Neurospora crassa OR74A: one gene and its partner. The main gene of each other region encodes a partner of the protein of the gene in region 2 in a complex. Links are inferred from orthologs where the notes say so. Each region holds a gene or a part of one and is shown on either strand. Other genes may lie near its edges.

Region 1 (3,556 bases), on a different chromosome or scaffold from region 2:
ACCGGCGACCTAGCCAAGATGACATGCGAAGCCCTGATCAGCCTGGCATCGCGCCGGGGGCATCGGCCCAAGACCATGGCGCGCCAAGCGCGCGAGGCTAAGGCGCGGGAACAGAAGCATAAAGAAGCCGAAGACGCGTGGGACGGCAGCGTGCCGGATATGGCGGATCCGATTTCTGCTGAGGAGCAGGCTAGGCTTGATATCTTGGAGGCGATTGTAGAAGGGTGGTCGTCTGGTACTTCCAAAACGGGTGAAGAGGATGTAAGGATCCGTGCCTCTGCGTTGTCAATTCTGGCGAATTGCATCGAGACGAATATTGTTGGTGTCGCGGCGGTGTTGACGATGGCGAGCGTGGATCTGTGCATTAATGTTGTGCAGGTAGAGCGGCAGCTGGAGAAGGGGATACTCAGGAGGGCGGCGGTGAGGCTGATTATGAGCTTTATCAAGGCCATGGACGAGGCGAAGCACGAGGGGAGGGTGTTGGGGATTGCGTTTGGGAGTGAGACGCAGGAGCAGCTGAGGACGATTTTGGGGTATGTGGAGCAGACGGACGAGGATGGGTTGGTCAGGGAGTATTGTCGGGATGTGCTGGAGAGCTTGGAGAATTGGAAGACGAATAGCTTGGTGGATGAAGTGTCGTTGAGCCAGGCAAGAGGAGGAGGGTTCGGTGGTGGTGGGTTAACGAAGCTGGCTGGGTTGGTTGTCGACCCGGAGAGGTCGGTTTCCCATGGTGGTGATGATAGTGGTGGAAGTAGTGGCGGTGTTGAGATGTTCGGCGGTAGACCTAGGATTGAGGAGATTGAGTAAAATATCTTCACCCAGTATGGGACTTTATTAATTCAAAATGACTTCCTGTCAGGTCCTGAACAGTCCCCTTCCATTTCGTTTCAAAACATCGGCGTCTTCGAGGGTCTTGACCTGAAGGTGTAAGTGGGCATCGGAAATAATCAGGGAGAGATGTCACCAGGTAAACTTGAGTGAAGAAGTGAAAGAATACACTAAGCTATGTACCTGAGTAATGATAAGCAAAAGGATCGCCATAAAGGTCTTGGTGATGCTCATCATCGTCGCTGTCAACAACATCAAGTATCCTCTAGCCACCAACCCTAACCCTGTAATCTACTAATCAGACAGGCTTATTGCCACGTCCAATCAGCTATCGCGTTAGGGCTCCACATGTCCCTCGTAACAGAGGAACTTCCATCGTCGCGCTACTCCAACGCCGCAAAGGTCCAGCATTGGAGGCACAGTCCCAGTTGGAGCTTCTTCCATCATAGCATCAACGCCAATCCCATCTCTCTTCCCAACTTTTCATAACCATAACCTCGACCTTGTTGCGTCCACCCGACCACAACCCACTCTTACACATCTAAGAAAACCGACAAATACAAAATTCCATTAGCACCAAGCCGAATCGCGAATCCAACTTTCGAGCCGTCCCATCGACGACAACAACAACAACAACAACAGCAAGCCTGTGAATACACACACAAGGCGCCACGCACTTGACCAAGAACCAACCCTTCGAACCGAAACCGACAACATGTCTTTTGTCCCAGTTAACCCCCGTCCCTTCCTTCAAGATCTCGTCAACAGCTTTGTGACGATCCGCTTGAAGTGGGGAGAGACGGAGTATGTTGGCCGTCTTGTTGTACGTATATATATACATATCCAGCATCTTTCTTCCAATCTAGCCTTCCCTTTGCCGCTGGACTTTGGTCTTGGCATACACAGCTGTGGGAAGCGATGGGGAGGGGAGGGGAGGGGGAAACCAGCAGGCAGGACCAAGGAGCAACGAAGGAAGAACAAAGAGAGAGAGGCTGACGAAATGCGTGTGTGCATGTGAACAACAGAGCATCGATAGCTACATGAACATTCAGCTCAGCGACACAAAGGAGTACATCAACCGCAAGTTTACGGGCGCCTTGGGGCAGGTTCTGATCAGGTACGTCCATACTGAATACATCCCACTGCTACGGCTTTCCATACGGACGACCCAATCCCCCATCTCGTATCAACTAGCCGGGATGCTGACATTATGGACTTCAACAATAGGTGTAACAACGTTCTCTACATCAAGAAGGCCGACGAGGCGGAAACAAGTGGCGACGTCAAGATGGAAGAGTGAAAGTTCTCTCGCCACCAGGAGGAGGAAATGAAAGGGTAGCCTAGACTAGCGGGCAGGGTGGTGAAGGGCGCGATTTGCAGAACAGACAGGAGGAATGTGTGAGGAGGGAGGGTCGTGATGTTCCGACTATAATACCCTGGGAGGAAAAAAGAAGAAGAAGAAGAGATGGATCTACTCTACCGACCAAACCAAACCGAGCCGAACCGAAGCACAAACCACAACGCACCCGCTCGCCGAAAACTCGTTTCCCAATGATGAAAGTGTGCGCTTCACGAAAGGTGCGACAACAGCTTTGATGATATCGGGCGCGCATGGTGTGGAGAGTGGTACGGAAGGGCGGATTTGCTTCAAGAGAGAGTGAACGGTGGATGGATGGATGGATGGGTACCGAGCGTCTCTCTGTCTGGTAGAGACCTTCGTTGCATCTCCTGCGCAAGACCGTCAAAGGAGCATGTGCCATCTGGCCTTTCCTTGAAGATAAAGGCTAAAATAAGATGTTGGAACAATACTCAGCTTAACAGGAAAGAAAGAAACAAAAATCTGTCAAGACCACACATCATCTAGGTACTGAGCAAAGAAAAGGAAGTGGCGGGTTGAGTTAGACATGCGGACATGGCGTCTGGTTTCCAGGTATTATTTCAACTGAAAGAAAAAGAGAACGAGCGGCGTGAATTTCTGTTAGTCTCAACTTCCACTTGCCTATACATCACACGACTACAGGCAAAGACAGTCACCATCATCATACACATCGCGCGCCTTCCCAATTATGAACATTCTATCCACCATTTGACTTCGAATCTTTTATTCTTTCGCTAAAACAAGACTTTTGACCTTTTCCTCGCAGCGTTTGTTACAGCTGCATACTTACACACTCCTAACACCCGACCTAGCCAGCCTTGCCCACCACCTACTGGTACCTAGTTACCTCCGTTTTTACATTTCCTCTCTTCTAACCAAAAATGCAGGCAACCTTACGACTGCTATGCATCTCAGAAGCGCCAACCTTGATACGGGTCTTGGGACCCACCCAAGCATACACTTCAACCATCCACTCGTACCACACCCTGGTGTCGTCGGTCTGGCGCCACATGCTGACTTCTAGCTCGGTGTCCTGAGGGAAGTAGAGGGGTTGCTATGTATCGTCGAAGAAACAGGGTCAGTAATCGTCACCAAAGCAGGAGCGAGGAGCGAAAAGTCAAGAAAAACAAGAAATGAAGGAAGAAGAGATAAAAACTCACCCTAAGAGGGAAGAAAATCGGGAACCAGGAAATCATGTCCTTGCTCTTCCGATCAATCTGATCTGGCAAGATACTAATTTCTACTGGCGTCTTGCCCTCCTCCTGATGCTTGTACAGCACGCTCTCGAAGTAGCCCGCCAGACCATGGATCACACCTCTCGTGGGACAGACAAACGTCAAATGGCAGTGC
Region 2 (3,509 bases):
TTGACCTCGCCAAGATCGTCACCGTGGTCGAGCAAACCATGGACGGTACCTCGGGTGCTCTCTACGGCATCTTCCTCAACGCTCTGGTCGCCTCTCTCCACACTGTCGGTGGAGGGGAGTCGGACAAGAAAGCTGCTGATGAAAATGCCTGGGCCGCAGCCCTCAAACTGAGCTGTGAGGCCCTGTCCAAGTACACGCCCGCTCGTCCCGGTGACCGCACCCTGGTTGATGCCCTCTATCCCTTTGTCGATGCGCTCGAAAAGACCGGTGATGTGAAGAAGGCGGCCGAGGCTGCCAAGCAGGGAGCTGAGGGCACCAAGGGTATGAAGGCCAAGTTGGGCCGCACCGTCTACATTGGCGGGTCCGGATTCGAGCAGGTGCCGGATCCGGGCGCTTGGGGATTGGCCAAGTTCTTCCTTGGACTGGCTGGAATTGAAAAGGCTGATGATTCCAGTGCTAAGCAGGCCAAGGGATCGGATGATGGATGGGAGGAGGTTACAAGAGAGGCGGAATTGCCGTAAGAATTGGTGCTGTATGTGATCTCGATATACCCCTAGGTAGTTAGTTTGCACCACCATTTCAATGACGTACCAGGAACACCAATACAAATCATCCCGTTGCTTGTCGTTAAAAAGCACGAGAAAACATGACCGCGTCTGCGAAAACCTAAACACGGTCTGGGTATTCTGTTCGATCAAGTTACCAGAAATGAAAGATAAAAAGTTAAACAAAACCAAATACACGTTTGAACGCCGAGCTCACACTAGTTTTCCCTTTGTATGACCTTCCTAATAGCCCCTGAAAATCTGCTTGGGTTTCTCTTCTTTCCTCTCGTTCCTGCGCGGCGCCTTTTCACGGGGCGTTTTGAATTGCTTTCGTGGTTGTGTCGTCATCATGGTCGATCGAGCGGTTGAGTAGTAGTAAGGTGATATAGTCCGCATGTCTCTCGATTCAGTCGACCAACAATAGGTACCCTTCCCGGGCTCATCCCCACTCCATTCGAGCCATTAACCCTAAGTTGTGCTGGCGCGTGTCTTCGCCGTGCAAGTGAAATAAACCTCCAACCTATACATTTTGCCGTGCTATTCGTGAACTAGCTGAGGAGGACAAGGATGACGGAGTCGCCTCTCAGGAACCTGCCAGGAAAGTGAAACATGTCAGCCATTGATCTTCGCTTCTCCTGGGCGAGAGAAACAACAGATGAAAAGGAAGTGCACAAACATCTTGCTGATAAACCTGTCCTTGTTTACGGGCTTGCCCTTCTTGCCATTGGCCAGTCGGGGCGTCTCGGTCCACATCTCCTTGACGTTCTCCAGCACCATGTTCATGTGGCGATCGAAAGCCTTGACGCGCGCAAGGATCTTGCGCCCATTGCGGACGGAAATGAGGACTTGGGAGTGGCTGCGGACGGCGGTCTGGAGGATGGACTGCCAAAAAGGGTGTCATATTAGTCGCTGCTCCGTGTCGAAGGGGTGGTAGATCAAGGCTTATGGGGCATATGTACCAGAGGACCGGCGGAGAACTCGTGCTCTTCGAGGAGAGAAACTTCGTATTCACTGTATCAGACGAGTTGGTTAGCTTTGTGATTTGGCTGGGCGGGCGTCGTGGTCTTGGGTCGCAAAGAGGAGGAGCTGGGAGCAGCAGGGCGGGCGAGATGACGATGGTAACAGAGGGAGGTGATGTTGACAAGAGGATATAACGTACGTAAGCTCATTGCGCGGCTTCGTGAGAAGCTCCCTGTATAGTAGACAGTTGTTAGTCAAGTTGGTTTCCTTGAAGCGTCCATGGGCTGCCCGCGCACATGGGTTGATGCTGGAGAGTGGGATAGCTACTGACTGAATCTTTGCATCCGCTGAAGCCATGACGATGGTGTTTTGGTCTAGAGTTGAATTGGAGTGGTACTGAAATGTAGGAGGGGCAAATGAGTTGTAGTTTTGTCTTTGTATCAAAAATGGTTGTTGACGTCGAGTGGTTGCTTCGCGTGGTATGGGTTGGTGGTGTACGGTAGAAGCCTGGACAATAGTTGCTGTAATGGATGCTATCGCTATCTTCAATCCACGACGGGAAATGTTGCAGCAGCGGAGGGCCAGGCGCGGCGGCGACTCGGAGCGTGGAGCAGCTACAGCACACGCGCCAAGCTTTTCTGGGAACAGAACCGTCTTCAAAGTTTGGCGATTGGATGACAAGCTCACGGTGGATCCCAATGCGAAAGGCTGAGGACCGCTCCGGTGACAGGTGCTGCCAGCCCCGCCGAACCCGACATGCTCCCCCGGACAGCCGGGACATCGGGTTTCCAGTGAGCGGAGGGCCCGAGCGTCGCTTCTGGAAAATGACAAGTTTGAATGGATAGAGGTATCATCGGCCGGAGGATATTCCAGCTTCTAGCGATAGCGGCGGGGATTCGGCAGGTTCCACAGCTACCTCTACACTATGTATTAGCTCCCCCGTACCTAACCCCGCCCCGGGGATTGCCAGGCGCGGTGCCCTTGAAAATCAATTGAAGCTGGAGCTCCATTTCGCGTTGAATTCCAGCAAAAAGTGGATTTGCAGATACTCTCGCTATCACTTATCACGGTTCCTGCATCCACGCGGCATTCAGATCATTGGTGATTGTTCTCCCGTTTTCCCTTTCCCAGCCCAGGAAAACGAGTCCCGAAAAAAAGTGCCCGAGTCCCTTGGCCGGTCTATGATGCAACAACGGTGCTAAACAGCCTCGGGGTGGATTTTGGACTTAGTATTTTTCTTCCATATTGACCCTGGGTCTTGTTATTCCATTCCTATTCTAGACAAAGCCAGCCAGCCAGCCAATTACCGAAGTGTACATCGATGTTGGTCTCCAAGTCCATTGCCAGCCGCGCCGGCTTGGCTTCTGCTGTTGCTTCTCGCAGCTGCCGACCAAGCTTCACCGCGATGCCGCTCAGAGCCAAAGTCCTGGGCCAGCAGGCCCCAGTAAGACGCTCCTTGGGAAGACAAAAGCCATGGACACGGACACAGCTAACACGCTCGCCGCCCCCTCCTCCCAGATCTCGACCCAAGCCGCCGCCGAGTTGTTCAAGCCCGTCGAGGGTGACGAGCCCGAGGATGTCCTCTTCAACAGTCTATATAATCTCCGCTCCGTCGAGCTCAACCGCCCAGCCAAGTACAACGCCCTCAATGGCTCCATGATCCGCAAGATCGCGCCCCGTCTCCTCGAATGGGAACGCTCCGATATGGCCAACGTCATCGTCATCAAGGGCTCCGGAGAGAAGGCCTTCTGCGCCGGTGGTGATGTTGCCGCGCTGGCCAAGCAGAACGCCGAGGGCCCCGAGGGCGTCAAGAAATCCGTCGACTATTTCGGCCTCGAATACAAGCTCAACCACCTGATTTCCACCTACACCAGGCCTTACGTGGCTTTCCTCGACGGCATTACCATGGGAGGTGGTGTTGGTCTCAGCATCCACGCCCCCTTCAGAATTGCGACCGAGCGCACTGTCTTCGCCATGCCCGAGACCAAGATTGGCTTCTTCCCC

Evidence for each region. Proteins that work in one complex are often made in the same cells at the same time.
Region 1: NCU03778 (region 2) and NCU01614 share a complex: the UniProt entries of both Saccharomyces cerevisiae proteins name them as parts of the sm core complex. The link is inferred for Neurospora crassa OR74A from reciprocal best matches to the Saccharomyces cerevisiae genes SMD2 and SMX3.

What each region holds. Positions count from the first base shown.
Region 1 is NC_026502.1:2,951,740-2,955,295, forward strand, and holds NCU01614 (hypothetical protein), read left to right. Parts: upstream 1-1,232; 5' UTR 1,233-1,543; coding exon 1,544-1,651; intron 1,652-1,853; coding exon 1,854-1,945; intron 1,946-2,055; coding exon 2,056-2,128; 3' UTR 2,129-2,912; downstream 2,913-3,556. Other genes in the region: NCU01615 (hypothetical protein), read left to right, coding at 1-807; pp-2 (protein arginine N-methyltransferase HSL7), read right to left, coding at 3,078-3,260, 3,367-3,556. UniProt on the Saccharomyces cerevisiae protein: Plays a role in pre-mRNA splicing as a core component of the spliceosomal U1, U2, U4 and U5 small nuclear ribonucleoproteins (snRNPs), the building blocks of the spliceosome.
Region 2 is NC_026505.1:2,382,498-2,386,006, reverse strand, and holds NCU03778 (small nuclear ribonucleoprotein Sm D2), read right to left. Parts: upstream 2,075-3,509; 5' UTR 1,863-2,074; coding exon 1,837-1,862; intron 1,738-1,836; coding exon 1,705-1,737; intron 1,557-1,704; coding exon 1,505-1,556; intron 1,428-1,504; coding exon 1,222-1,427; intron 1,137-1,221; coding exon 1,094-1,136; 3' UTR 605-1,093; downstream 1-604. Other genes in the region: dak-1 (dihydroxyacetone kinase 1), read left to right, coding at 1-521; NCU03777 (mitochondrial 3-hydroxyisobutyryl-CoA hydrolase), read left to right, coding at 2,827-2,949, 3,024-3,509. UniProt on the Saccharomyces cerevisiae protein: Plays a role in pre-mRNA splicing as a core component of the spliceosomal U1, U2, U4 and U5 small nuclear ribonucleoproteins (snRNPs), the building blocks of the spliceosome.